Notamacropus eugenii: one gene and its partners. The protein of the gene in region 1 interacts with the protein of each later gene in a pairwise test. Links are inferred from orthologs where the notes say so. Each region holds a gene or a part of one and is shown in the gene's direction. Other genes may lie near its edges.

Region 1 (7,692 bases):
AAGAAGATGAAGATATACCGGTTACTTTTGGAGGAGACCAGCAGACACAAGAATCCAAATCCAAAAATGAGAGATAACCCTACTAGGGCAATTACAGTGTGAAGGCAATCTTCTTTTGCTTTTGGCCCTCTGGGGTCTTGGGCTGCCTTATCACTTTCTTACCATTATCCCCTCCTTTAAGTCAGATCTACGGGAACAGTAAAGCTGGATGACACAAACTTCCTTGGGTCACCCAGACCCAAGGTCACGATCAAAGGGTTAATGAGGTAACGAGCTTCCACGAACCCCAGGGATCACCACACATCTTTGGCCGCTGGTTCCACACAGGGAATATATCCACTACACCCAGAAGTACATCTGGAAGGCTACAGTTTGATCTTCCCCAAAACTAAAGATCCGTTTGGGTTTTCCACAGGAGGAAGGAGTGTTCTGACCCCTTGATACAGTAACACCAGCATTATAATTAGTGACCACAAAAACAACAGAGCCCAAGGAAACTCGCTCACAGCCACCAAGACTCCCCGGGAGCTCCATCCGACCCCACCCAGGGGCTGGGTCCGGCCTTCCCACGTCCCCACCCCGCCCAGGCCCAGGACTGAACAAAATCGGGCCCTTCTCCACCCATGGGCGGAACCCTGTCCCACTGGTCTCACCAACAGGAGTCCTGGGAGCCAATCCTTGACACTCCCTTCTGCCCCGCCCCGCCCCACGGAAAGAGGAAACCCTGCGGCATTCCATCGGATGGACGGGGGAACTAGCCAATCCCTTCAGAGCGCTGCCCCATCCGGCTAGCCAGGGGGCGGAACTAACTAGTTGAGATGGACAGCTACCCGAACCAATAGAGTCACCAGAACTGGAGAAGGGGCTGGGCCCTGGGCGCCGACAGAGCGGTTGAGGCCCCTCAGGCCAAGGGCCCGATGACCCGGGGGGCTAGAGATGGGGTGTTTCTCTCCTCCGACCTCCACCCTAGCGATGCTGGCCTATGGACCGGCCAGGGACTGCTTCTCTCAAGGAGAAGGGGACCGCCAAAGCCTCCTGACAGGCCGAGCCGGTGACAAAGAGTCAGCGGCCAGGGCGGGGGACCCTCGGACTAAGATAGCCGGGCCCTGCTCGGGGAAGAGGAAACCCAGACTCACGTTGTCGATCACGACAGGCTGGTTGGCGATAATATCGTAGGACTCCATGGCAGAGGGGTCTCTCCTCCGGAGGAAGAAACTGCCAGCCGGGTCCGCTGTTGCTGCTGCTGCTGCTGCTGCTGCTACCACCGCTACGCATGCGCAATCTTGTCCCCGGGACAAGGAAGTCGGGAGGGGCTGCTCTTCACCCTCCGGAAGACTACAGTCCCCAATATACTATGCGGTACCCCTCCTACTGGGAAAACATCTCTCAGACTCTTTCAAAATCCAGCGAAGCTTTGCATGATGGGTATTAGACTTTCCTTCGCACAGCTCTTTGGGCTTTGTAGTTTACTTGGAGAAGCGTGAAAGGGACATGAATTGTTTGCCGTTGTTGCATGATGGGATCTGTAGTCCATTCCGTCTTTGATGAGGCGGGTTCGAAATGTATGCTGGGACATGTAGTCTCGCGGGACTGTGTGCCTAAGTACTTGGATACTTGTCTGTGGCCTCTCATAAATAAATACGCTACATACCAGGGACTTTTCACTACGGTGGAATAACTTATTTTTCATTCTTGCTTTATACGTCTTTTCTTTCATTCTTGATACTCGTAGGGTCCATTTCCTTTCCGATTTTTACACGGTTTGATATCTCTATCTTTTGTTTTGCAACGTGTGGGGGTTAGGGGTGGGGTGTAGTAGTACTACAGTTCGCACCATGTCATCTGCAAACCCGAGCGTCTTTTAAAACCTTACGTTTAGACTTTGTGGACATCCTTCCTGACAATGCCGACCAGCTTTGGTAATCCAGCGTGTCCACTGATAGTCATCATCAGAGGTAATCTCTACAGGTGTATTAGGATACAAGGATACAAGGAATCTTGTTTGACTTTTCTAAATGGAGCTGTGCTTTGTCGAAGATCTGTTTGGCTCTAGAAAACCAAATTTTTTTTTTTAAATATTCGACAAACACAAGCGCGGTGGGAGCTTGTATTCTCTGTACCTTTCAGTTAATTGTGTGACTATAAAGATGTGGTCTGTTATAAAACATAATTTTTGAAAACTTGACTGCTCTTTCTCATACCTTTCATCAAGGATATGGTATGTGTTTGTAATTCTCACAGATTTCTGTAAGTATATGGGTTTTCAGTTACTGATTTTTTAAAATAATTACTTTCAGTAGTAAAAAATGCCCATTTTTTCCCTCTCCTCCCTCTGGCATCCTCTCCCTTTTTTAAGGTATCTTGAGAACCAGTCCCTCAGCATCCATAGTCCTGTGTTGCATCAGGACAGACCTCTTCTAGTTATACTTTGTTTAGTCCATCTATATAGGTTGTTGTCATTTGTGATAATTTTTGATAGGCCTTTTAGAATTAGAAGAGCACTGGAATACCTAGTTAAAATCCTTCATTTTACAGATGGTAAAAGAGAGGTTCAATTATTTTCCCAGAATCACACAGCTGTTATTGAATAGCCAGCACTAGTAAAAGCATTTCTGCCTCACTTTCTTGGAACAAATTATTTAACCTCTCCAGGTCTCAGATTCATATGTACAATGAATAAATTGAACTAAATGATATCTGAAGTTCTTTCCACAAGAATTTTTGGTTCTAGTTTCAGGTCTGATCATGCCCCTTCTCTGCTCTAAAATCTTATCTGGCTGTATATGGCTTCAAAGATAAAATACAAACTCCAGGTTACATTTAAGGCCTTCCCTATTGTAAGCTCTCATTTCAGACTCTAACTTCACAAACTAAGTTCTAAATATTTCTAAAGGTGATCCCTTGTCTTCTACCTCCATGTACCCCATCAGTGGTATGCATTTTCTTTTCATCCCTTTTCTCAGTCCTTATTGTCCTTGTCCTTCAAGGTCAGTTCAGCCTCTGCCTCCTTCTTGAAGCCTTTTCTGATTTTCCCCGGTTGTTGATATGCTTACTGTCCTTCTTCAGTGTACCACAAATTAGAATTACTTGTGTACATACTGTATCCTCTCCAGTAAAATGTATGCTTTTTGAGGATGGTGACTATGACTTTTTTGGTTTTTATGTCCCCAGTGCTGAGCATAGTTTTGAGTATAGGTGTTTAATAAATGTCCAATCAAATGCCAATGAACTTTCCTTCAAGGCACCCAGAGTTTCTTGCATCATTTCATTCCTTTTGATAGTCAGAATTATATCCTTAAGTGAAAATGGAAACAAGGACAGGTTAAGCAACAGAGATGCAGACTGTTCTTGGCTTTGCAAGTTACCAAGCCATGCAGCTGTGGAAAAGTCATTTACCCTATCTGAAACTTACTGAGTTTCCATGTCTATAAAATGAGTATGATACTTGTTCTATCTGCCTCACAAGGTTGTTATAGGGAGAGTGTTTTGTAAGTCTTAACAAATTCAATAATATTTATAAAGCCCTTAACAAGAGGTACCTAACAAATGCTTGCTACTTACCTCCCTTTAAAGCATTATACAAATGTGAATTACTATTAGGATACTCATTCTCAATTATTGGTGTTTTTCAGTTAATCATACTTGCCCTTTGGAAACCCCTCCTTTCTATTAATGCCTATGGCTGTCTCATTTTACATTCAAGATTACTTGAGTAAACAATAGCGTGCCTATAAGGTTATTGTGATTTTTAAAAAATCTGTAAAGCTGATATCTTAGAAACTTTTAAGACTCTCCCCACATACAGAGGGCAACGATTATGGGGGCCAGCGGGGATTCCTCAGTAACTTTTCAATGCAGAAGAGAAATAACAGAAGGGAATGTTACCATAATAAAAAAAAATTATTAAATTCCTATCTGCACACAGTACTTGTGGATAACTATTTAGAGGGGGGCTTTACTTCTCCCAAAGCAGGTCTTATTATTATTCTTTGGTTCCTATCTCTGACTATCTGTGGAGAGGAGCCGCAGTTATGGACACTGTCTCAGCCATGCAGATAAGGAATGCTACTGTAACTGAAGGATTTCTGAGAGCGCCCTGGGAGCAGCTAAAAGTCAAGCGCCTTGCCCAGGGTGAGGAGCGTGCCAGGGTCTTTGACACCAGCGCTCGTTCTAGTCCACCGCGCTGCCTTTGGCTTTCATGATGTATCTGTGCGGAGTTTAAAGTCTTCCACCCAACCCACGGAAAAGAACACAGGAAAGTGGCAGCTGGCAGGTAACCTACATCCCCTGGATCTTGTCCACAGACGTCGGTGGGGTAGGTACGGAAACCAAGTCTCAACCGTCTTTAAAAAAGTCAGTACCGCGCAGACGAATGAATGAATGACCCCGTCCGCTGAGGCAGAACCTTCTCGGCACCAAGGGGGAAGGAACAGAACCGCGGTCCTGTCGCTCGTCTCACAGGGATGCCCAGAGCCCCGCACGCACTCAAGTAACACCTCCGGATGGCCAGGGCTAGCCCAGCACTTTCTCCCCTCCACCCTCCCCGGCCGCTGGACGGTGGGGGCGGGCCTATTGTCAGGCCACGCCCTCCAGCCTGTGACTGATATAGATGACGACCAATAATCTCCAGGAGAGCGGGCGCTGGAGCCCCGCCCCAAAGAGCGCCCGGCGGCCCCGCGGCGCCCCACTGGCAGACTCGGCAGCGGCGGCGGCCTGGGTGGACGGGGGTGCCGTGCGCAGGCGCGGAGTCCGGACCTCGCTGCTGCCCTCAGGGCGTCGCACCCACGAACTCTGCTTGCCGTCCCGCCAGTGTGTCCGTCAGTGCCAGCCTCCGCCCCCCGCCCCGGCCCCGGCCCCCGCCGCCCCGATGGCTGAGCTGCGGCCTAGCGGCGCCCCCGGCCCCGCCGCGCCCCCGGCCCCAGCCCCGGCTCCGGCCCCCGGCCCCGCCGCGCCCCCGGCCTTCGCCTCACTCTTTCCCCCGGGGCTACACGCCATCTACGGCGAGTGCCGCCGCCTGTACCCCGAGCAGCCCAACCCGCTGCAGGTCACCGCCATCGTGAAGTACTGGTGAGCCCGGGGGGCGGAGCGGAGGGTTAGCCGAGGGGGGCGGGGGCAGCGCGGCCGGGCGTGGAAGGGTTAAGCCGAAGGGCGGGGGGGAGGGGCCAGCGAGGCGACGCGGGGCTCGGGAGGGAAAGGGTTAACTTTGGAGCCTCCGAGGACCGCGGAGACAAAGGGGTTAACCGGGCTCGAGGACCAAAGAGCTCATGGAAATTTGGGGAGGGGGGGGTGCCTGGGGCTGCGGGGCTGTGGAAGAAAAGGGGTCTTTGGAGCCGGAGGCGGGCCGTGGGGAGCTCGCAGACCCTGGCGGGGAGGCGAGAGGGGGAGCCAGGTTGGGGAAGGACAGGACGTTATTGTCGGACCCAAGCTGGAGGCTGGAGTTGAGAGGGGGTGGCTGCCTGGCTCGGGGGAAAGTTTGCCTGTTTGCGAGTGCTTGGAAGGAGTCCCTCTTAGAGATGGGGGGAAGGGAGGGGGAAAGGAGAAGGGCTATGCCCGGCTGGGAGTGGAGGTTAGAGAAGGGGAGCCAGGGTGAGCTGAAGGACCTGTTAGTAGTGGACAGGTTTTGCGTTTGAAGTCTTTTGATTCTTAAACTCCCCTCCCCTTTAAGTTTTGGAAATTTTCTCTGAAAAGTCGTTCCTTTGACGGCCTCTTTTGCCTTTACAGTCTTCATTTCTTTTGACCTAGAGGAGGAAAACAGATTGAGACCAGGGACAAACATAGGGGACGAGGAATTCACATGAATTTAAAAGGGCTGAAGGTTAGGAAAAGGTTCGTGCATGATCTTTTCAGGCGCAGCTTGGGTTATCTCGCTCAGGAGGACTTGAAAAGAATTCTGTACTGAGAGACCTGGGTTTTTAGCTCTATCTGACACTTGGCTCGTTCTCTTTTCACTGACAGATCACTCAAGCTCCCTGGGCCAAAGTTTGCTCTTTTGCAAGGTCTTCTAGATGAACTCCAAAATCTCTTCCAGCTCCAAATTCTTTGATTTTTTAAAAAATGATTTTTGATTGCCCTAAAGCATTGGGGGTGTTTGGCCATAAGAGAACAGTGGAGTAGAATGTTTGAAGGGCTGTCACATAGCTCTAAAGGCCACAAATATTAGGAGCACTGAGGGGTCGAAGAGTAGAAGTGGATTCATGCTTTATTTAAGGAAAAACTTTCTAACAATTAAGCCTATACAGAAGTGAGAGGAAATTCTGCTGGCTTAAGGTCTTCAAGAGAATATTATAGAGGGGATTCTAGTCAGGTGAGAGTTAGATTGAATGGCCCCTAAAATGCCTTCTGACTCTCATTCTATGATTCTTATGTTAAGCCAACTGGTAACTACCAATAGATTCTGGCAAGGAGACTGTTGTGTTAGCTAGAAAACATATTGTATTGGTACAAAGATTTGTTTCATAAGAATTATTTTATAGCTTATAACTGTCCCTTTAAGGCAGACCCTCACTCAGTTCATGTCCATGGAGTCTTGGGACAGGAAGAAGGGGCAGATCACTGGAAACTGACCTCTTGGGACAGCTGCTGGCCTTGTGGCCCTGGAATCAGTTGCCTGGAAAAAGGGGAAGTTAGGTAAAGTGAGTTTCATTTCAGAATCATTTGTCTTCAATTTTCCCTTTGGGATTGAGCACTTCTCCTCACCAAATACCCTAGCATTTCCCTTTAAAACACCATTGTGCAGGTCAGTGGCTGGTGGACTTCCATGTTAGAGCAAGTGGTCTACAGCCAGGCAGCCTCAAAAGTTGGCTAAGCAGTAGATAATGAGACCTGGCCACTTGTTCTTTTGGAAAGGGAAGTTTTTTCCCTGGTTGTTAAGGCATTGTTCTCATCTCTTTAGGGCTTACAACTTGTTCTTTAGCTGAAGTATAAAAGTACCTTTAAATAATATTACAGTGATTCATATTTCTATAGCTATTTCTGGCTTATATTTTCTTTGCAACAACCCTGTGAGGGTAGTTAGTGAAAATATCATAACTTCTGTTTTACAGGGGAACAAATTGAGGATGAGAGAAATTAGGTGATTTGCCTAAGGTCACCTAGCTAGGAAATATTAGGCAGAATTTGAACCCAGGCCATCTGACTTCAAATCTAACACCTTACTCTTCTCTGAAAAGATCCTTTTGCTGTTCCTCAAACAAGACATTTCATCTCCTGACATTGGGCATTTTTACTGGAATACTCTCTCTCCTCATTTTGTATTCTGAATTCCCTCAGATCTCAGCTAAAGTCCCACCTTCTGCAAGAAGCCTTTACCAGTCCTCCTTAGTTACTAATGCATGACTTCCCTTTGGTACTCTCTCCAGTTTATCCTGGCTATAGCTGGCTTGTGCTTATTTCTCTGCATGTTTTTTCCTCCATTAGAATGTGAGTTGCTTGATAGCAGGGACAGTTTTTTGCCCGTCTTTGTATCCTCAAATATTTATCATGTGCTTGGCATATAGTAGGCACTTAATAAATGCTTATTGACTAACAAACTTTTTTATAGGTATCTATGCTGAGTTTCTTTTAAAGAGGCCTGAGGCTCATATCAGGTCTCTGGTAACTTAATTAAAAATTTAAACTATGCTTTTATATATTAATGCATTGTGATTGATGTGATTAAAGGACTTCATGGGAAACATGAAACTTCGTACTTTA
Region 2 (7,869 bases), on another chromosome or scaffold:
CCCACTTCTTATCCCTGTGATACAACCTTTGGATGGTTCTCTTCTATCTGCTTTGATTCTGAACCCTGTTTTGGTCTGCCTTGTGGTATATATACTTGTTTTCTGCCTGCTTCCCTAGGGTAAGCTTTTGGACATTTCTCAACCCTTGACAGCAAGATTCTGGACCTATTGCCTCTTCCGTTTTGCCCTTTACAACACTTCCCTGCTCTTTTCATGCCTTGCCTGGCTACATGTATTTTTGACACTGTTATCTGACTGTGTGTGTTCAAACTATTAACTACTTACCTGGTTCTAGATCCTTTGGTTCCACCTTTTCTGCCAGATTCCAGGCCAGTTCCTGTGGGTCCAGGTCACTCCTGTGCTTACTCCCCCTCCCTGTCCTGAGCAAATAAATCCTGTGCTCCCAGTCCAATTCTTTCTCATCCAGTTTCCACACTACTCACCTCCTGCTGCCCATTCTCCCAGAGCTGACATTGAACTGATTGTAAGCTGCTGGGCACATTCCGAGGTGCATTAACTCTAGCTGACCATAATGGTGCCATTTACTAAATTACTGATCCATTGACCTTAGACAAGTCACTTAGCCTCTTTGTATTTCACTTTCCTCACCTATCAAAAACATGTTCTAAGTAAGAAAAATGAGCTTGGCTTCTCTGTTACCTAAACTGACTACATTCCTTCCTGGAACATAGGCACTATGTCTAGAGATACAGACACTTCTTTTCATTTGAGGCTGACAACCCCACTGGATGATTCATCCACACTTATTCTTTCCCCTCATTTTCCCCAAACCCCAAATAATGATTTTATAAAACCTCCCTTCTATCAACCTCTCCTAAAACTACATGACTGGCCTAAGACTTATTTTGTTTACCTCTTCAAAAAGCATTTTGTTTACTAAAGCTGAGAATCTGTTTGCCTTGGTTTTTCAATAGGACTAAAGAAACTCATATTCCTAGCTCTTGATAGTATACATGGAGAAAAGGGTGCAACAGTGAGAAAGGATATGAGTAGTGGAAAGGCATCATCATGTAGGGGAAAGACCATTGGATTTGAACTTGGAAGACTCCAGTTCTGCCACTAAATGATCCTGGGTGAGTCACTTCTCTAAGGGTCTCAGTCTCTTATCTGTAAAATGTGGAGGGGGTGGAGTTAGATTAGATAAGTCTAAGGTTCTAAAATCCCTTCAAGATCTTATGTTCTTTGTTTAAGACCCTTTCCAGCTCGAATACTATGTTCTATGATCCTGCAATTCTGCAATGTCTGACATTCTCCATTCTATCCTATGATCCTCTCAAACATTCTGAAATAGTCTAGTGAATGAAGTGAAAGAATTCAATACAAGCTCAAAGAAGAACGAATTAATGGAATTTTTCCTGAATATACTCACATATACATTATACACACATATACACACTATATATATAATGTGTATGTGAAAACACACACATATAATATGCTATACATACATATATACACTATATCATACATATATACATATGTGTATATATGTATATATGTGGGTTCTCTAGGGTTTTTGTACATTATATATCACCTGCAGTAAGAAGAGCTGATGTTCCTCTCTCCCATTTTTTCCTTTCTGTTCTATCATTGATGAAAGAAGGGGGAAAAAAATCTTTGGAAAAATCTAGAGTTTGCAGTATTAAGATGTAGTCTTCTCATGTTCTGTTCTCTTTTCCTTCCTTCATAAGCCTGCCATTAGTGGGAAAGCAGGAAAGTGGTGCATTGAAACTTTGTCTTCCACCAATTCCAAGGGCTGACATTAAGTACAGGTCAAGGAGAATAGAAACCAGTTACTTACAAATCTCACTTGAGGTATTCAGTTGATGTTCAGACTGGTTTCCAGTCTTCCCTTGCATTGTAGCACGATATGTGGAAATATACCTCCAGTATCATAATGGAGCAGGGTAGAGTCACTTCATAGGAATTTGCTTAATGGGAAGCTTTCAGGAACCTATCTGTTCTGTAAAATGAGGTTCACCTATAAGCAAATTGCAAAAACAAAAACTTCCTGATTGTTGGAGGTACCAAAGATTGGTTCTCTACAGTCCATGAGGGATTGATTACAAAGAGAAAATGCTGATGACTCCAAGAGCTTTTTCACAGCAAGGATATCCTTGGACACCTTACCTTACAATCGTTTCCCTAAGAAAAGAGCAACCTTCCCAAGGGCACATCCTTGTCACTGTTGCTATCTGAAGTAACATGGGACAAAATAATCGTGGAGAATTTAAATCCATGGACAACTCCTACTCTTAATCTGTTTCAACGTCCTTTCCTACAACATTTAAAAATTGAATGGGCAGAGAAATAAAGAAAATAGGCTTGTTTTCAATTTCTCTCCATGCTCCTGCACTCCCTCTGCTGGAGATGTCAATAAGCAGAGCAATGATTGAAGGGTGGGCAGCAGGAAGGAGAGGAAATAAAGGCCTCAATTATCCACAAATGGTAAATAAATAGCCTCGAAGTTCATTTTTAAAACCTAGCAGTATATATTCTCAGCATTCTATTGACAATTATAAAATGTGTCCTGATAATCTCACTTATCAACAGTTGCCCTGGATGTCAGTAAATTCTAGAACAGTTCACAATCAGTGGGGAAAAAGTATTATTTGGCGAAATTAAAGCTTTACACCTCAATATGTCCTGTTTTGTTTTCTTTTGTGTGGGAGAGGAGGATGAGAGGAATATGCAAGACTGGGCTGGACTAAACAATTCGGCAATAAATTCCATTATCAGGTTCATGTGCTGAATATCATACTAGACAACATTATCTCCTTTATCCATGTTATTCCCACCTAGAATTTCTTCCACCCCTTACCACCCCTCAACATTCTATGTTTCCTTCAAGACCAAGCTCACCAAGACTCCACATTCCTTCCCCATGGAGTTTTCCCTATCTTCCTTAAGTACCAGACCCAAATTATTTCCAAGTTACAATCAACTTCAGAGGTAATCCAGTCCCATCTCCCACATAATTCAAGGATACTATGATATAAAGACATCTATCTTCTAAAATTCCAGTGATAAGGGACTATATCACCTTGAGTTGAAATCTGTTTCCTGTCAACCTGCTCCCCACCCCTAGCATCCACCCATTGGTTCTAGTGCTGTCCTGTGTGGCAACACTGTAGAGCACTTGAGATATATTTGTGTGTGTATGTATACGTATGTGTATATAATATGTATGAATGTATGCATACACATACCACATAATACATGTTTTTATCTACTATACCTTACATGCCCTTCCCCTCACTTAATTATATACTGTCTTGTATTGTTCATTGTTATTTGTATTAAACCATAGGGCTTTTGCTCTAATAATGGTGATATCACCATAGCCACCATACCTTCCTCATTCCACATTTTTATCTTCACTTGTCCTTCATTCAAGCCTATCTCAAGGCCCACATTGTTCATGAAGCCTCCCTCAACTACACTGATCCGTTTTGGTATAGTTTATCTGGAACTTATGACTTAAAACACAATTCATCATTTCAGTACCTGTGATTTCTTTCATCTGTGTGACTGGTCCATTAGTCAGTCCATGACTGACATTAGTCAGTCTTTTTGAGGGTTGCTTGGTCTGAAAACTTATCAAGTTGTTAATAAGCTTCTCTGTCCTTAGCTAGCCTGGTCTTCAAAAGACAGACATACAGTCTCTTCCTGGATCTGTACTCAAAAATTTTTCTAGTTCCACAGAATCAAGGAGATCTGTTAAGGTTTACAGGCTGCTGGTATGGCTTTCAAAAAATCAGAACTACCTTCATGCAGTGATGCAGCATAAGAAGATTTTACTGAAGCTCAAATATTTAATGTCTCATTTTTCTGTTTCAATGTGTTATTCTTGTTATCTTTGCCCCAACAATACTGTAAGCCTCTTGAGGGTAAGGGCCTCTTTTTCTGGATCACATCTCCTTTTCTTCTGTCTACAATATTTAGCACAGTGTAGGACTGAACACTTCAATAAGTGCCTACAGATTGTTTTTCCAGTAATGCTGTTGGAACCCTACTGGTTCAGTTTTACTCTGCTTCTTCTCACATCTGTAAGAAGGCAGACTTGGACTTAGGGCCTTGGAATCCCAAACTGGGACATTAGTTCCCTTATGCTCACAGACAAGAAAACCACTACTCACAGGGTACCAACCACATAAACCAGAAAATTTGGGGAGTTGATGTGCAAAGGACCTGGACTTGAAATTTGAGCTTGGGGTTACTCTGTGACCTTGGGCCCAGGTCTCAGTTTCCTTCTCTATCAAGTGGAGAGTTTGGACTAGAGTTGGTCTCTAAGGTCCCTTCCAGTTCTGGGGTCTCCTCGCTGGAATAAGAACATCAGTTCTGGGCAAATAAGCTCTACTTTGTCTGAATTAATTGCAGTTCCAGTAAGTAGAAAATCACTTTGATGGGAGTCTTTAGTGGGGCTTGATGTGTGCCTATGGATTTTACTGACTCCAAATGTATTTCTCTTCCTCTAAAAGTGTATTAAAAACATAAAGAACCCCACAGCTACACATAATCACGTGCTCTTGGCAGCGTGGAAGAATTAGGCTGCTCCTGGAGGTGATTGTCAAGTTGGAAGACCTGACAGTTACCGGCCCAACAAGCTTATCTACAGCTCCTGCAGCGGCAGGGATGCTTGGTGATCGGTGCCGTTCAGAGAGGGAGTGGCAGACACCAAGAGACTTAGCTATGGCCACTGTCAGGTCTGGGAGCAGGGGAGGCTCCCCCCGCTGCAGGCGGCCATCTCCCCTTCCCCCTTCTCCTGGGTTCTGGGCTGAGGCCGGGGACTGTCCGGAGCTGATCTCGGGCTCCCATTGGCCGCTGTCTGCCGTGACGTCACGATCATGATGAGAATTGATGATCGGACACGCTGATTTCATTGTCTGAGGCGGCGGTGGAGACCCAGGAAAAATCTCGCTGAATCCGCCCTGCCCGGCTCTCGCCCGCCCCGGGGAGCCTCGCATTCCGGCCGCTTTCCCATCACGCGCGAGGTAAGCCCTGCACCTAGTGGAGTGGGCTGGGGGGAAAGGGCGGGGGAGGGCAGGGCACTGAGCGACTGGTCCGCCCAGTGGGGGGCCCTCAGGGGCCGAGGCCTGCGGAGCCAGGGCGGCGGAGCAGCTGCGCGGGGCCCCGGGAGCCCAGCGTCGCTCCCCACAGGGCCCGGCCGGCGACGGCGGGGCGGAGCGGAGCTGGGGATGGGGCTGCCCCGGGCACAGACCGGAGGGCCCGGGGCCTGGGGCCCCGGAGCTGCCGAGCTCGGGGCTCGCCCCTTGCCTCGCCTGGCCTGGCCTCGCCGGAGGAGGAGGAGGAGTAGAAGGAGGTGGCGCCTTTTCCTCTCACAAGAGGGGGGTGAATTCTGCCGCTTCTAGATTGTACTGGACTGTAGCTTTCCCACAGCCCGGCTCTTACGCGCGGAGGGCGCTGCGCCTGCGCAGTCCCACCTGCGCGAGGGTGGGGCGCGCGGTGAGGGGCGGGCGGGCGTGCGCAAGCGCACTTCTCCGCTGAGCTTAGGGCTGGCCTTCGCCTGGGGCTTGGAAGAGAAGGAGGAGCGGGGAGATTTGAGAAGTTGGAGCGAAAGCTGAGTGGAAAACTGAACCTGATCGGGATGGGATTTGTGTGGTCGGGGTAATAACACCAACTCTTCCAGTGGTCTGCTTCCCGTTGACAACATTCTCGAGTTGCCCTTAAGGCCAGCCCCCTTGCTGGTTCATCTGTAGTTATATAGCCCCATTCTCTCATGCTGAGCAGACTTTCAACTGGAATCTCGTCTTTGGGGGCCACTCGAGGCCATTGGACCCTCTTCGTGTCATTTTCCTCCCTCCTGCTATGCCCTTTTTTCCCACTTGAAACCCCGTTTCTGAGTTTCTCCTCTTAGATCCCGTTCCCTTGTCTCCCTAATTCTCTCAAAGCCACATAAGCACCCTCCAATTTGGAGTGACCTCCCATCTGCTGGGCTTGCATTACTCAGAGCCTGAGACAAATTTTGAACAACAAGCTCTCAGGTCTGTGGTACATGTAATCACATCAGGATAAGTTGTACTGAAGAGTACTTACCTTTCTGTGCCCCACAGCAACTAAGTGCTATTGGCTGGAGAACTTGAGTGTCCATTCTGTGCTTTTGACTCTGGCGAATCCATGCTGTCAAGTTATTCTTTTCCTTTCTCTATATGTATATGAAGGCAGTTATCAAATCCTAATGGATTTTTCTCCTTCCATATCTCTACTGCTACCACCCTAGGTCAGACTATCATCATCTCGAACTAATTACAAACTCTTAGCTCCCCCATTTTCCCCTTCCCCAGTCCATCCTGTATACTTCTGCCAGAGTAATCTTCCTCAGATATCACTTTCCTGATGATATTTCCCTTCTCAGAAACCTTTATTGTCTATTACCTATTACACTACAACTAAACTCTTCTGCCTCGCTGCCCTCAGGAGCCCCACCTTACCTGTTCACTTCTATTTCTCTCTGTTCCCCATTGCCTGTCTCCTCAGGCAATGTCCTCTGAACACATACACTACTCATTCTCACCTCTGTCCCTTCACTTGAGTTATTACCCCATCCTCTGACTCCTCAAATACCCCCCAACACACACACACACACACACACACACACACACACTACTTTCCCTTCTGTGTCTCACTATCTCTCAAGGCTCAACTCAAACCTTGACTGACTAAACATAGGATCACAGATTTAGAGGTGGATGAGCAAAGACTCAGAGAGGTTAAGAAATTTTCCCCAAATCATACCTTATAAACATATATATATATATATATACATATGTGTGTATATCTATCTATCTATCTGTATATACATATATATATATGATCTGAGATTTTAATCCAGATCCTCTCAACCCACATCTGGTGTTCTTTTCCACCAGCCATCATCAATCCTCTCTGGTCTCTGAGCTCCTAGAGCACTTATAGGCTACCCCCAGAAAGGGAGCTTGAGCATTTAGTTAAATGTAGACCTAATCATTCTCTCATTCTTTCACGTGTTATGTATAGTCCTGTTGCTGAAGAGGAAATTAAACTCTGAGGCTGGCGATCCTGTCTTTTATTCTGTATCCTGTATAGTGCTAAAGAAATACTAAATGATTGAAACAGTGTAGCTGCATAAGACCTTCTTTCCCAAATAGAGGGCTGCCTAGAAAAGCAAATAAGATTTTTTAGAGTAAGAGATTTTTTAGAGTAAGATTTTATCTGTCTGAGACACAATCTGTCCATAGTAAGACAAAACAGTTCTCTACTTGGGAAATCTGCCACCAATTTCTTATTTAGGCCCCAGGCTACTAAGTATGCCCAGCTCTAACAATAGAGTCACTTGGTAATTCAGGTGTCATCATACAAAGATGAATGTCAAAGAAAAGCCTTACTCAAGAAATATTCTTATGTAAGGGGTACCAACCATGTGCTGTTTCCCCCACAGACCATCGTACCTGATAGTGATGCTGCCTGCTCTTTCTCCAGTTCTCCTTTTTTGGGGGGGAGAGGGAACGAGAAATAATGTTAGCATTTCTGTTCTTTCACATTTCAAAATGACATCATTTGTCTCCCTTGTTTTAGGTTTCCTACTTTTTGGATGCTCTCCCACAATTCCCTACTTCATGGACAATTTTTACTTATGTCTGTTTCCTTACCTCCTAGTCCTGCCCCAATACCTCAGTAAGATTTAGGGTTCTGGGACATAGTGAATCAACTCTGAAGAATTCAAAATCAGTATTTGAAAAATTTGAAAAATCACTGTTGTAGACCATCAGAAGTAAACTGTATATGTTGATCCTAATAAGAGAAAATTCATTCTCTGTTATTCATTCATTTCTTCCCCTTTCTCTAATT
Region 3 (7,350 bases), on another chromosome or scaffold:
CCTTAGACAGTGAAGTCGGCAGCAGCTTATTGACTAGAAAGCCACATATCAACATTATCTATGTTCTACTGTATTGTTGTTTTCCTTTGTTAATTATTTCCCTGTTACATTTTCTTCTGCTTTGGGATACACTTCAAAGTGTTGCTGGGTGGCTTAGAGGACAGACACCAAGACACAAAGTCCAAAGGAATTGGTGATGTGGGGCTGGAGCTCAGGAGAGAGTAAGACTGGAGATGGAAGGCGGGGCTTCTTATATAGAAATGAAAATTAAACTTGTGTGACCCCACGAGTGGGTCATTCGATAAACCATTTATGAAGCGCCAACTACATGCCAGACAATGGGTCCAGCGCTGGACCTACTGTTGTGGTTGTGTTTGTCCTTCCTTCTGGAAGAGGACTGTGACATCAGGATGATGACATGACTTGCAGTTGACTCTGATTTGAGTGAGGGAGAGCTGTGCAAGGTCACCTACCTCACCTTCTTCTCCTGAGCCACCTGGATCCAGTGGCCCGACCTACAGAAAAAGGCGAGGACGATCCCCTTGGAGGAGCCCTCCTCTGATGGGAAGGCAGGGCTCTTAGTGCCCAGCCCTGGGCCCTTTCTGTGTCCAGCGGAGGCCAGTTCTTCCCCCGAATCTCGCCTGCCCCCAGCCCTGGCCGGAACCGGGAGGGAGCGGGATATCCTGGGAGCTCCCAGGCTCCTCCTCGCAGGTGTTTCCGCAATCCCAGCAGCTGCCTCTGCCCTGGGGGTTCATTATTTACCTCTGGAGTTGCCAGCCCTCTAGGCCCCACCCCGAAGTTTTTGTGAGTTCGGACCCCCCCCCCCCAGTCCCACCCGCCCGGGGCCACTGAAGGGGCGGATCCCGATGGAAGCCCAGCCCCTTCTTCTCCCTAGTTATTGGGGCTCTCTCCCCGCCCTCCCCAACCCAAGGAAAAAGCATACAGATCCAAATACAGACAGGTATACAGACGGACGTGAGGACAGACAGAACCACGCACGCTCCCTGTCCTTCAGAGAGCCACTGAGGGCCGGGCCCGGGGGCAGGGGAGGGTCCGGGCTGACAGCCCGTCTGGCAAGGCTCGCTGTATGACCTTGGGCAGATGCTTGCCCCTCTCCGCCACACGGGACATTGGAAGGGGCAGGGCGGTTGCCCGGGCACGGTTGGATAGTTTTGGTCCTGTCTCCACCCACTGCTAGAGGGGAAGTGGGCCAGGGGACATTCCCGGAACGGAGGTGGGGGAGTGCACGGCGCAGATGGAGCAGGGGTAGAACGGAAGAGAGGGGAGGCCGAAGTTCCAGCCGGGGTGGGCTGGGCGTGGGGGAAGGCAGGATGCAGTAGAGGAACTGACCGAGGTCAGTCACGGGAGCCCCAGGCCAGCGTGAGCGGGGCGGGCCGGGCTGGGCTGGGGAGCCCGGGGCTGGAGGCGGACATCGGAGTGCCCCGAGGGGACGGGGAGCCAGGGTGCCTCGAGCAGGAGGGGGAACTGGGGGGCCTAGGAAGTTTGGTTCTCGCGGGGGCGTGGCCGGGCCTCTGGGATCCTTGGGGGAAGTGGAGAAGGGGAGGGCACGGTCCGACGGAACATCGCGTTCCTTTAGGGGATAGGGCTGGGGGAGAGGTTAGAACCAAGGCACGTGTAGGCCTCCCCATGAGGGGTGGGGCCTTCAGTAGTTTTGGAGGTGAACGTGCCATCGCTGGTGGGGAGTGTGGGGTGGTGGTAGAGGTCTCCCCGTTTCTGATGAGCCGCACTGATTGGGGTCAGCACCTGGGTCCATGGAGTGTCTGTGACTCAGTTTCTCTCTTCAGGTCTCAGCATGGGTAGGCCCTTTCCTAACCCCCAGGGTCTCCCTTTCCTATTGTTGCTGCTTCTCCCAGAGCTGAGGGTGCTGAGTGCAGGTGAGGGAGAGAGGGAGCCTGGAGCCTGGGAAGGGTTGGGAGGCAGGGCTGCGGGTCACAGGAAGCCCTGCGCTCACAGCGTCCCTTCCCCCTTTCCTGTCTCTCCTGGCTGTCCCTGTGTCTTTTCTCTCCCATGCTGTCCCTGTCCAACCTCTGGCCGCCTGACCTCGGACCTGCAGAGGCACCCTCCTTGTTCTACCAGCTCACTGCCGTATCAGTGGCCCCTAAGGGGACTCCCAGGTTCTGGGCCTCAGGGTGGCTGGGTCCCCAGCTCTTCCTGACCTATAGCTCTGGTGGCAATGCAGAGCCCTGGGGGGCCTGGCGCTGGGAGCCTCAGGAACCCTGGTTTTGGGAGAAGGAGACCTGGTACCTGAAGACCCAAGAACGGTTGCTGCAGGAAGCCCTGAGTCTCTCTAAGAAGCAGGGTGAGGTTGGATGGATGCTGGGCTGGAGGGGGCTCCTGGAAGGGGGAGCTTCCTCCCTCATATCCTCATCTGGGGCCTCCCCCAGGGGCCCACACTTTTCAGGGCCTGGTGGGCTGCCAACTGAACCCCGACAACTCATCTCATCACACTGCTCGATATGCCCTGGATGGGGCAGACCTCTTGACCTTTGACCCTGTGTCCAGAGTTTGGTCAGGAGACACTGTGGAGGCCTGGAATGTGAAGGAAAGCTGGGCCAATGAGAGCCAGCGGGCTGAGAAGGATGCAGAATTCCTGCTTACCACCTGCCCCCAGAAGCTCAAAAGTCACCTGCAGAAGGGTCAGGGCAACTTCCATTGGAAAGGTACGTGAGCAGCTGGCATCAGAGTTGCCAGAAGTCACCACAAGTCAGTGGACTCCAAGGTCTGGCTCCTACCCAGGCCAGAGAAGAAGGAGATGGACAGAGAAAGAGGGCAGCGGGATCCTGATGCCCAGTACCAGAAGGGGATCAGGGATGGAGTCCCCCTTACATAGGCAAAGAAGAGGTGGACCAGGGAGGGTGAGGCTCATCTGGGGGAGGTCTCAGAGTCTGGGGGCTGCATCACAGAGCTGGAAGAGATCTTTGTTATTCATTTCAGTTTTATCTGACTCTTCGTGACCCCATTTGGGGTTTTCTTGCCAAAGATACTGGAAGCTCATTTTACAGATGAGGAAACTGAGGCCAACAGGGTGAAGTGACTTGCCTGTAGTCACAGTTAGTAATTGTCTGAGGCCAGATTTGAACTGACTTCAGGTCTGGGCACCCTGTGCACTCTGGTGCCATCTAGCCGCCCTGTACAGACCTTAGTTCCAACCCTCCACTGATGTGGGAACTGAGACCCAGACAGGAGAAGGCACTTGCCCCAGGTCACCCAGGTGACTGACTTGGGGGCTGGTCTTGTGGGTGCCATTGATCTGGGCTCATTTTCCCTTAGAGGCCCCAGAGGTGCGAGCTGGAGGCCATGTCGAGTCAGGGTCCACCCAGTCCATCCTCACTTGCCAGGCCTTCTCCTTCTTCCCACCGGAACTGGAGCTGAGCTTCCTTTGGAAGGGGCAGCCAGTGGCTGCGAAGGGAGTGGAACCATGGCCCAACGGGGGCGGTGCCTTCTATTCCCGGGGCACTCTGCTGGTTCCCTTTGGGGATGAAGCCCTCTATAGCTGCGTGGTGCAACACCCTGCACTGGCCAGCTCCATCACTGTGAACTTCGGTAAGAGCAGGGGGCTTCTAGGGCCACTGGATCCTTGGTCCCAATTCATCAATCAACATTTCTCAAGCACTTTGTACGCCCACTGATCAATCCTTTCCCACCTCCCCACACCTGCAGAGGCGTCTGGCGGACTGCCCATGCCGATCAGAGTCAGCTTGGTGGCAGGCTCCCTGCTCTTCCTGGTGTCCCTGGGGGCTGTGGTGGCTTGTGTGGTGATCTGTAGGAAGAGAGGAGGACGCCCAGGTAAGCCGTGGTCCGGAACTCCGCTGGGGCCAGGAGAAACAGAGGAGAGATGGACCTCAGAGCCTTGCCCTCTCATCCTGGTTCCTCCTTTTCTTTTTCTCGCCCATTTTAGCTCCCTGGATTTTCCGGAGGCGTGCAGGAGACGACGTGGGGTCCCTGCTCTCGGCCCCAGGGTCTCCCCAGGACTCCAGCCCCTAAGATCCCGGCGTCCTGCCTGGCTGCTGCTGGACCCCCTCTCCACCCTTGCAGGGGGTTGTCTCTGGATGCTGTGCGATCCCCTGATAGAGTCCTGTCTCCCGCCCCCTCCGCATCCTCGGCCCTTTCCAGGCAGCCCTCCTCGATTTCACCTTTGACAGTGCAGAAATGTTGATATACTCCTCTCTCCCAAACAAAACAAGAGGCTGTTGGGTCCAGATCTCTGCTGTGTCCTTTTCTTCCAATTCTGTTTGAGGGGAGTCAGAGTGGGGATTCACCGTATGGGGGGAGGGGAAGTCCTTCCCGGGGTCTAACCTTCGTCTCACTTGCTGCTGCTGCGCAAGCTCCTGTGGCTGTGGCTGCAGCTGCAGCAGGGATTGCTCGGCACCGGGGGCGGGGCTCCCCACTGAGTTCTGTCTGTCCCGCACGCCTGCCTCGGGTTTGGAGCCCCAGCTGCGTCCCGGGCCCCGAGGCTGCTGGGAACTGTAGTTTCCTAAATGTTCCGCAGGCATTATGAACCAACGGGAGGAGGGGATGGAGGCCCCCTCCCCCCTCCCCCCAGCAGATACCGCCCCTGGGCTCCCACCCTGCGGACGTGGCGCCGTGAGCCCAATGAGCGCCCAAGAAGGGGAAGGCTCCGCCCCGGCCTGGGGCCTGAGCGGCGGGATTGGCTGGAGGGCGGGGCCACAAGGAGCCTGCGATCCGGGCGGGGGGATGAAAGGAGGGAGCAGGGAGCTGGGCTCCCTCTGAGCTAGCGCCGAGGGACGGGACGGGACGGGACGGGGTGGTGAGGAACCCCGGAGTGGAACGCGGGCCCCTGCAACCCCACCCTTCCCCAGTCCAGTCCTCCAGGCAGCCCCTCTCTGCATCCCTAGTCCTCTAGCCCCTTTCTAGATCCCTAACCCGCCCTCCATCCCCTCTCTGGCCCCCAACCCTTTCCCCAGTCCTCCTCTGTGCCCCAACCCACCCTCTGTCCCCCAACACTCTCTCCGTCCTCTCTCTGTCCCCCAAGACGCCCTCCATCCTCCCTCTGGCCCCCCAACCCTCCCTCCATCCTCTCTCCTGCCCCCAACCCTTCCCCCAGTCCTTTTCTGTGCCCCAACCCACCCTCTCTCCGTCCTCTCTCTGGCCCCCAAGACGCCTCCATCCTCTCTCCTGCCCCCAACCCTTCCCTCAGTCCTCTGGCCCCCAATCCTTCCTCTATCCCCTCTGCGACCCACAACCCACCTCCCTTTCTTTCTGGACCCCCAATTTCCAACTCCTCTGTTCTCCAATCAGCAGCTCTACTCCGTGCCACCCCCATCCCCCAGCACATGCTCCTATTCCTTTCTTTGTAATCCCTGCAATTTTGTGCCCCTCTCCCCTATGCTCCTTTGTCCCACATCCCTTAGCACTTCTGTGCCCCTTTCCCCAGCCCCTCAGTCCCCTAGATATGTCCCAATACTCTTAGCTAATGTATGCCTCCTGTGCCATCTCCATTCCTCTTTGTGCCACTACCTACTGTCCATGCCTTCCCTGTGCCCCACCTCACCCCCTCAATTCATTCTCCAGCTCTCACCTATGCCTTCATCCCCAGTCTCCTTTCCGTGCCACTCCCATTGCCCAGACCCTATCTTGCCCTCAGACCCATCCCCCACTATGTACCCCTGCCCCCTCTTCTAGCCCCTCTGTGAGTTCTTAACCTATTTCCTAATCTGCCACCCCTGAGCTATGTCCTCCAGCTCCTTGGTGCCCCATAGTCCCCACTCTATATCCTAGTTCTTTCTTGTATGCCTATCCTCCACCCCCCTCTGCCCCCTTCCATGGTTACCCAGTCCCTTTCTGTACCCTACCCCCTCCCAACCCCTCTCTATTAAACCCTGGCCCAATCCTTTCCCTCTGCCCACTGCAGCCCCCTTCTCGCTTTCCCTTATCACTATCTCACTGCATCCTTTGCTCTTCCAGCTCCCCCAATGTGCGGCTTTCCCTTCTGCCCACCATTTCTCCTTCTGTGTTTCCTTCATCCTTCCACCAACACCAGTCTCTTGTCATCTGTCCCCGTACCCTTATCCATCTCCTGATCTCTAACCCCAAAGTTTGCCTTTCTTTCTCTTTTTTCACCTGCTCCCTCCATCTTAAGTTAACTCATTTCTCCTAGTTTTCATCTAGCTACACCTACTAGCTTTTCAGCCCTTCACCCCTTTCCTGCATACCTCCCATGCCACCTCCACATCACCCTGGGTGCCTCCACCCCTGTCCTCTACTTTTTGTGACCTCCCCCCCACCCTCCGTTGGTGCCTTTGTCTCCCCCCCATCTCTTAGACCCTCTCTGTACCATTTCCCATTGCCCAGCCCAGTAACCCCCTGACCCTTTCCCACTTCAGTATCACCACCTCCTGTCTCATGCCAATTCCCTGCCCCTCCCCACCACTTTGACCCATTTGCCATCTCTGGACCCTGTCCACCTCCTCCTTTCTAATCATCGCCCAGTCTGTCCTGGGACTCTGTGCTCAGGCCTTCTTGACCTCTCTCCTTCAGGAATGACGTGGCTGTGGTCACTGCTGCTGCTGGGGCTAGACCTGGGCAAAGAGGCATGGGGCAAGCCCCCCCCAGATACCGGGGTTCCTCTCTCAAGCCGGGTGCACCAACAGGCCCCACTGAGTGAGGCCAAGCATGACGATACCCATGGAGACTTCCAGTTTGACCACGAGGCCTTCCTGGGCCGGGAGGCAGCTCGGGAGTTTGACCAGCTTAGCCCAGAAGAGAGCAAAGCAAGGCTCGGGTATGAGATGCGCGCACGTGCGCACATGTGCACGTGTGTGTGCGTGTGCGCGTGTGTGTGTGTGTGTGTGTGTATTACTACTGGATGGGATTGATGTGGCGGGGGCGGGGAAGTTAGCATCTCCTGCCGTATAAGGACAGTGGAAGAACCATGGGCTGTTTACCCTACAGCCAAGAAGGCTGAGGAATGAGTGGTTGTGGGTGCGGGGTGGCTTTGAGATCTGTTCTCAAGAATTTGGAAGGGTTGTCAAGTGGAAAGGATTGGCCTCCGAGGGGAGGGGTGTGGGGCGGAGTTAGGGAGGAAGGGCCTTGGAGGAAAGGGAGGATGATTTAGGTTCAATGTCAGGAAAACTTACCAATGAGGGTGGAGTCTACCTGGGCAGAATGGGGGTGTCACCCCCTCCCTGCTGAATAACCACTTGGCTGGGGGGTGGGGCTTAGCGAGGTGGTCACCAAGGTCAGGTCATTCAATTAACAAGCACTTCCGGGCCACCCAAAAAGGCCAGTCCCTGGCTTCAAGGAGCTCGCATTCTACCAGGTCCCTGTTCTCTCTGAGGGTGCTTGACCCCCTCCTTGTCACCCCCCCCC
Region 4 (6,892 bases), about 140 Mb from region 1:
ATAAGTATGAAATCCAGGAGTTGAATGCAGGTCCTGTGACTCCAACTTTAATACTTCTTCCACTGCACCATAATGCCTCCCATGGCAAGTCAGAGAAGGCTTTAGAGTTGGAAGGGACTTTAAAGGAAGAGAGTATTATCACAAAAATAAATAAATAAAGATGCCCTTAAGCTTTTTTTTTTTTCCAATGCTCCTCCAGGATTCCCTGGATGAGGTGGGCATGAAATCTTTACTCTTTGGTCAATTGCAAGTTAAAATGCATGAAAGTAATTTTGTTTTACCCTCCCATCCATTAGTTCTTCGTGGAGTCAATAAAATGGATCACAGGCTTTGGAAAGAAGGAGACAACTTGTAGGTCATAGTGTTCCTCTGATACAGAGATAAATTTGCACTTTTAATTAACCCTGCATCGAAAGAAATATTGTCATGAAAACAAAATGATTTATCAAGAGCTTTCCTATGCATGCTGGTGCAGGACTTCACTCCTCTGAATCCCTCACCAGTGTTGGTATGACAAGCATTTAAAAATGACAAAGAAAGAGCTTGTGAAACATGAAAAAAGGGTACACAGAGTTGTACTTGAATACACTTGAAACGTTTCCCCTGACTGCCATTCCAGTGTAGGAATTGTTATGTCTATCACTGTAACAATTATTCCTTCCATGTGCCAAACACCCATCTGCATTAGACAAAGGAGGAGTCCCATGTTTTTATGTGTTTGATGAATGTTAGAGAATAATTGTTTGAGGTTACTGAACTTTAGGCATCACATCATCTCTTTAAACTAATTGGAATTTCAGGGAAAAATCCAATTTTGAAGTGCATTTTAAAATTCCAGATACACTTGTTGCTTTTAAATATGCCTTTTCCCCCCCAATATTTGCTGCTATTCAGTAACTTTTGAATACTCACATATACTAAATGTATACTACGTAACTACTTTCCCTCAACTAGTATGTACTCTGTATAAAGTTTTAAGAATGTATAAAACTCTTCCAAAAAGGTATTTGTGTGTTAAAATATTTGACAGTATAAAAGCAACAGTGGTTGTGTTAATTTTGGCTTGATAATTAAGACCAAGAGAACAGAGATTCTCCACCAGCCAACACCATAGCATCCATACATGGAACCTCTGGTTACAGCAAATGGAGAAATATTGAATGCTGTGAATAAGTTCACTTACTTTGGAAGTATACTTTTCAGGGATGATGAGGTTGACACACACATTACCAGAGCTAGGTCATTATTTGGGAGGTTCTAATGGAAATTGTGGGAGAGAAGAGGCATTAGGCTGCCTATCAAACTCCAGGTCTACAGAACAGTTGTGTTGATCTCATTGTTGTATGCCTGTCTACCAGTTCTATGCCAAGAAACTGAACAGATTCCATTTGAATTGTCTTAGGAAGATTCTGAAGATCACCTGGCAAGATAAGATATAGGATATGAAGGTCCTTTCTCGAGTTGATCTGCAAGGCAAGCATTAAACTCTACTGCAGAAAGTGCAACTCTGATGGACCAGCCACATTGTTTGAATGCCAAATGTACCTTTGCCTAAAAGATTATTTTATGGAGAACTCACACAAGGCAAGTGTTCACAAAGAGGTCAAAAGAAGTGATACAAGGATACTCTCAAGATTTCTCTGAAGAGTTGGAAATGATTGAGAGAAGGGAGATGCTGGCACAGGACTGCCCAATGTCCCTTGCCCGTATTAAAGAAGACACTGTGCTCCTTGCACAAAGTCAAATTGCAGTAACTCAAAAGAAATGTGACATGCACAAATTTAGAGATATCTCTACTCCAAACTTGTATGGAGTATTTGTACCCAACCTGTGGTAAACCCTTCTGAGTTTATGTTAGTCTGATCAACCACAGTCAGACACGCTGTACTTTGACCCTAGCATGGTGATGCCATTTTGGTCCTCTTTAAGTACGAAGAACAACAACTAAGTTTTACATAACACTTTAGAAATATTATCTCATTTGATCCTTATAAGAATTCTGAGAGTTAGGTGCCATTATTATCCCAGTTTTACAGATGAGGAAATTGAAACAAGCATAGGTTAAGTGACTGGCCCAGGGTCAAACAGTTAATGCCTGAGGCTGGATTTGAATTCGAGTTTTCCTTATTCCAGGTCTATCTCTTGATCCACTTCACCACTTAGTGGCCTCTAGTAGGGGACAGAGGACTACCGCCCAGTTTAGATTCCCCTCCCCCTTCTAGATAATGAAAGTGATGAGAATGGCTGCATAGGATATAGACATGTGACTAAAGCACATATATGCACTATGTATGTACAGTATAGTTGAAAACTTCAAGACTTTCACTACATTTCTCTTATGCAACAGAACATGGTACAAAAGAGAGTCAGAGAACCTGGATTCAGACTTCGGTTTTATCATTTAATCTCAGTTTCTTTATCTGTATGATGAGGAAGCAAGAGCAGATGGCTTCTCAGGTACCTTCCCTCTCCAAGGCTATGACTGTAGGCGTATGTACTTCCCCTATCCATTTATGAGTGTGCTTTGTAATCTCATGACTGCTGACCACTGTGTGAATTATTACTTATGAAGCATTGTGATATATTTAGTACCACACATGCACACACGCAAACACATTTGTCTCTCTCTAGATAGCACACAGTGGATAGAGGGTTGCACTTGGAAGTCTGTAAGTTCTGGGTTCAAATCTCTCATCTGAAACTTAGCTCCATCACCACAGGCAAGTTATGGCTTAAGTTCCTTGAGCCTCAGGCAAATTCATGAAAATAAATTAGGGACATGCCAGTGACCCATTTGGTGGAGGGAGTTCTCACTCCTAGAAAATCCCAGGTCATTTAGATAGTTTCCATCTTTCTTTTTTACTTTCGGCCAATCAAGCCTTCTTAAAGTGTTTTTGTCTGTTGTAGTTTTTCGAAGGATAATTGGATCAAAACTGGAAAGAATTTCAGAGATAATATAGTCAAATAATTACAAAGTTGGAAAGGACCTCAGAATCAAGTCCAGCCCTAAACCGAACAATAAACTCATTTGCAATTTCCTCAAGAAGTGGTCACTTAACTACTGCTTAAAGACCTCCAATGAGGAACCACCTGAGGCAGTCCATTTTACTCTTTGGACAGCTCTAATTGTTTGGATGCTTTTTCTCACATGGAGCCAATTACGAGGCTCCCTTCCACTTGGACCCATTGGTCCTAGCTCTACTTTCTGGCGCCAACCAGAAGCCCCCTCATTTTCCAGGCAGAGACACTGAGGCCCAAGCTGGTGAACTGAGTTGCACCAAGTCATCCAGCCTAGTTCCTGGGAGGCCTGGAACTGGAATCCAGGCGTCCTAGCTTTTGGTCTTTTCCAGGTACCACAGCTGTTTCCCTTTGAGCACCTAGGTTTAATGGAGAAGAAAGCACTTTGTAAACATTAAAATACCCAATAAATGCAAGTTATTATAGCCCAAGGTCATTCTGGTCGTTCATTCTGGGCTGGAATTGAACCGAAATATTCAAATTCCAGATCCAGGGCTCTTCTCACTGCATGAAGCTGCTTCGACTTCAGGGCCCTCCCTTCAGGCCACTGAAATTTCTCCATCTCAAAAAAAAAAAAAAAAAAAAAAAAAAGTAAAACAAACAAGAAAACAAAACAAACAAACAACCAACCACGACAAAAATGAGGTTCAGTCATCAAGTGATGTCTTTCTTCTGACTAGTTTCCCCGTCTCCCTATGTGCATGTGAGTGTGTGAACGGAGAGAGGGAGACACAAGCTCAGCCTTTGAATTAGCCAACCGGGTGACCAGGCACTACCCGCCCCTTTGCCCCCCTCCCACCTCCCTCCCCTTTTCATTCCTCTGTTGCTCCCTCCCTCCCTTCCTCCTCCTCCTCCTCCTCCCTCCCCCTCCCCGCTCTGGCTCTCGCACTCAGGAAGCGGCTGGCTGCTGGCCCTCACAACTAACTCTCTCTTTTACTTTCTCCCTCCCTCTTCCCAGTCCTTGCGATCCCCAAGTCCACGCAGCCTTGGGAGAAGAGGCACAGGGTAGAGAACACCGCTGCCGCTGCTGCTGGCTTCCCCCCTCCCAACTCCTCCCCATCCTCGGAAGCAGAGGAGCCTCGCACCCCTTCCCCCCTGCCACAAACCTACTCTCCCCCCCTCCCCCCCCCCCCCCCCCGCAATCATTGGGTATCACCCGCCAGTCCACAACCTCATCATCAACCAGACTGGCTAACTTTCCCTCCGTGGACAGGGATGAGCACAACAGGCCAGGCACAGTGAAATGGAAACTTAACTTTAACATATATTTTTTAATTTAGATTTTTTTGGGGGAGGGGGAGAATGAACTGATGCCCAGGGGGCATCTCCTCTTAGACGTGCCCACGCAGCCCCAGCGAAAAGCACCCCGGCTGGGTTTTGCTGCCCCATTCCTCAGCTCGGATGGAAGTTTGCATTTCCAAAGGCCAAACCCTCCAAGCGTGCTGAAGCGCTGGGAGCCAAAGTTGCTGCCTGATACTCAGCCCCTTGCGAGCAGGGCTGTCATTCTCTCTGGTGGAGAGGAGAGAGAGAGGCAGCCCGGGGAGAGGAAAAATGCACGTTGAGCTTTGTTGTGGAAATCCTGGTTACCTGGTAAGTGGATGCCATAGGAACTTCGCTTGCAGGCAAGAAAGTGAGTGGGGGGGGGAGGGGGAACCTTCCAGCTTCCAGGGACCTGTATGAGAAATAGTTTTCTCTGGAAACCCTGTGCGGACGCACTGTTTCAAGTGTCGTGTCCTTCAGTCCTATTTTTTGATGAGGAAGCAGCTTTTTAAAAAACAGTATTATTTTTAAGACGCGGGAAAGGGAATATACTTTTCTTGTCAGTGGGGTAAGAGAGCCCAAAGAGTGGGAGTCAGGGCGGGACGGAGTGCTCCTGGACCGCGGTAAGAAACTGGAAAGTGAAGAGACTTTAAAGCAGGCTCTGGAAAGGAGAGGATTCTTTTTTTACCGAAAGGACCGGCTGTTGCTTAGAGATCAGTTCAAGTTAAGGGACTGGAAGGCATAGTCTGTGCCGACCGAAAAGTTTGTGTGAAAGAGAAAGTTTGGGGAAGTAGGTATTGAAAGGGTGATATAAGTTCATTCTTCAGACATAGACTGACGATCGATCTATCTATCTATCTATCTATCTATCTATCTATCTATCTATCTATCTATCTATCTATCTATCTATCAATCTCTACCTACCTACCCACCTACCTACCTGTCCAGCTCTGATCTATATCATAGCCTATTTGCCCCATATACGTGTATAACAGTAGCAGATACGTAGTATTTTGTACACACATTGTTGTAGCAAATAGACCCCTTAGGGGTGCTTTATTTAAACCCACGTGTTTGTTGATATACGTGAAAGCAGTGTTGGACTTGGGAGTGGTTTTTTACAGCAATATATTCCCACTATAGGGCTTCTCTGCGTAGGTATCCATACACACACCTGTGTCCAGTATCCTTGAGTGTTGCCAGCACACAGACACACTCAGACACAAACAGCCCGCTGCATGTGTCACCGAACGTTTACGTTTTGATCGTGCATAGCAAAATGTCAGGACTGTTTTGAAAATGTCTCATTTTCACTCTAAAAGGACTTTGTCCCGCTTCAGTCTCCATAAATTACCCTTGTGTGTTTTTGAAGGAAGTCTGTCCAAACTGCTCTCCGGAAAGCATGAGTCTGCAGTTCGAGTTCTTGGGCACGCACGCACACACTCACACACACACACAACACACACACACACACACACACACACGCACGCACACAAATGAACATGCACACTCAGGATCCTGTTCTCTCCCCCTCTCCGTCCCCCAGCACTGTGGTGATGTAGACTTCCAAATTACTCACTTTAGCTGACAAATCGGTCAGGGAATGAAGAAACAATACTGTCTGGAAACTTTGGGGGCGCGTCTCCTTGGTTTGGAAGGATTTGTCATCGTGTAGATGATTAAGTTAGGTACCTGGAGGGAGAAACTTTGGGAAAGTTCATTTCCGGTTGTATTATCTCCAGGGTGTTGGGGGTGGGAGTGGTGGTGCAGTGGCCTGGCTCAGGCTGGGGCTCCCACATCTACGCAGTTCCCGTCTTTTGCTGCACCTTGGCACAGGGGTTCCTCGCTCAACTTGCCCCAGGCTGGGGGCTGGGGCGGGGGGCGAGGGGGTGTATGCGCCTCTGGGGTGGGAGGCATTTGGGAAAGGGAAAGGGAGCAGGCCCGGACTTTATGTGCCGCTCTGGTCCGGGTAGCCATTCATGAATGTGACTTTATTAAAGGGTTGCTGAGCGAACCGGAGCCCTCCCGGCAAAGGGCTTATTCAGTCCGGAGTTGCACAACAGGAAGCCTGGGCGCTTTTTGTTTTGCTTTGTTGTCCTTTCTGATAGGATAGATTAGTTTGGTGACTGTGACGAAGGACTAGGAAGGGAATGGTCTCCCCCCATCCCCCCACTCCCCCAATCCAGGCTTTCCTTGCTCTTTAACACCCCTCCCGCCTCCCATGCTGGCCTTCCCCAGGTAGCCAAGGTGGGGAGAGGAGCCCTTGCAGAGAGGGCACATTCACCCAGCCCTGGGCACATGGGGCTTCGGGCTACTTTCAGTCAGCCCAGAGATTGGGGTATGAGAGGTTGGCATAAAGGGGCTCATTCCTTTCTTTTCCCTTTTGCCCCTTTCAAGTTCCTGGGATAGTCTTTGAGAGCCCGGCCTGGATTCAATCCTGGGAGACCTGGCATCCTAAGGGGGTGGGGTGCCTCTCCTTTCTGCCACAGGCTCAGTGAGCACTGACTTTCCTCATCTCTCCTTTCTCCTTTTAGGCACCCTGAACCCCTCATCCCCTTTTCTCGACAGGCTCTGATCCTGGAATTGCAGGACAGTTTCTCTGCCCATCCCTGCT

The links.
Region 2: the proteins of SUFU (region 1) and HDX interact in binary tests that used the Homo sapiens proteins (3 or more experiments, as listed by UniProt). The link is inferred for Notamacropus eugenii from reciprocal best matches to the Homo sapiens genes SUFU and HDX.
Region 3: the proteins of SUFU (region 1) and RCN3 interact in binary tests that used the Homo sapiens proteins (3 or more experiments, as listed by UniProt). The two-hybrid records come from large-scale screens. The link is inferred for Notamacropus eugenii from reciprocal best matches to the Homo sapiens genes SUFU and RCN3.
Region 4: the proteins of SUFU (region 1) and GLIS3 interact in binary tests that used the Homo sapiens proteins (3 or more experiments, as listed by UniProt). The link is inferred for Notamacropus eugenii from reciprocal best matches to the Homo sapiens genes SUFU and GLIS3.

Annotation. Positions count from the first base shown.
Region 1 is NC_092872.1:180,690,967-180,698,658, forward strand, and holds the start of SUFU (suppressor of fused homolog), read left to right. Parts: upstream 1-4,676; 5' UTR 4,677-4,867; coding exon 4,868-5,067; intron 5,068-7,692. Other genes in the region: ACTR1A (alpha-centractin), read right to left, coding at 1,137-1,184. UniProt on the Homo sapiens protein: Negative regulator in the hedgehog/smoothened signaling pathway. Down-regulates GLI1-mediated transactivation of target genes. Down-regulates GLI2-mediated transactivation of target genes. Part of a corepressor complex that acts on DNA-bound GLI1.
Region 2 is NC_092879.1:79,045,580-79,053,448, reverse strand, and holds the start of HDX (highly divergent homeobox), read left to right. Parts: upstream 1-4,869; 5' UTR 4,870-5,015; intron 5,016-7,869.
Region 3 is NC_092876.1:12,233,752-12,241,101, reverse strand, and holds the start of RCN3 (reticulocalbin-3), read left to right. Parts: upstream 1-4,349; 5' UTR 4,350-4,789; exon of another isoform or gene 4,790-4,854; intron 4,855-6,519; 5' UTR 6,520-6,521; coding exon 6,522-6,763; intron 6,764-7,350. Other genes in the region: FCGRT (IgG receptor FcRn large subunit p51), read left to right, coding at 1,814-1,895, 2,075-2,320, 2,406-2,681, 3,292-3,564, 3,682-3,807, 3,920-4,005. UniProt on the Homo sapiens protein: Probable molecular chaperone assisting protein biosynthesis and transport in the endoplasmic reticulum.
Region 4 is NC_092872.1:40,395,899-40,402,790, forward strand, and holds the start of GLIS3 (zinc finger protein GLIS3), read left to right. Parts: upstream 1-3,881; 5' UTR 3,882-4,608; intron 4,609-6,892. UniProt on the Homo sapiens protein: Acts both as a repressor and an activator of transcription. Binds to the consensus sequence 5'-GACCACCCAC-3'.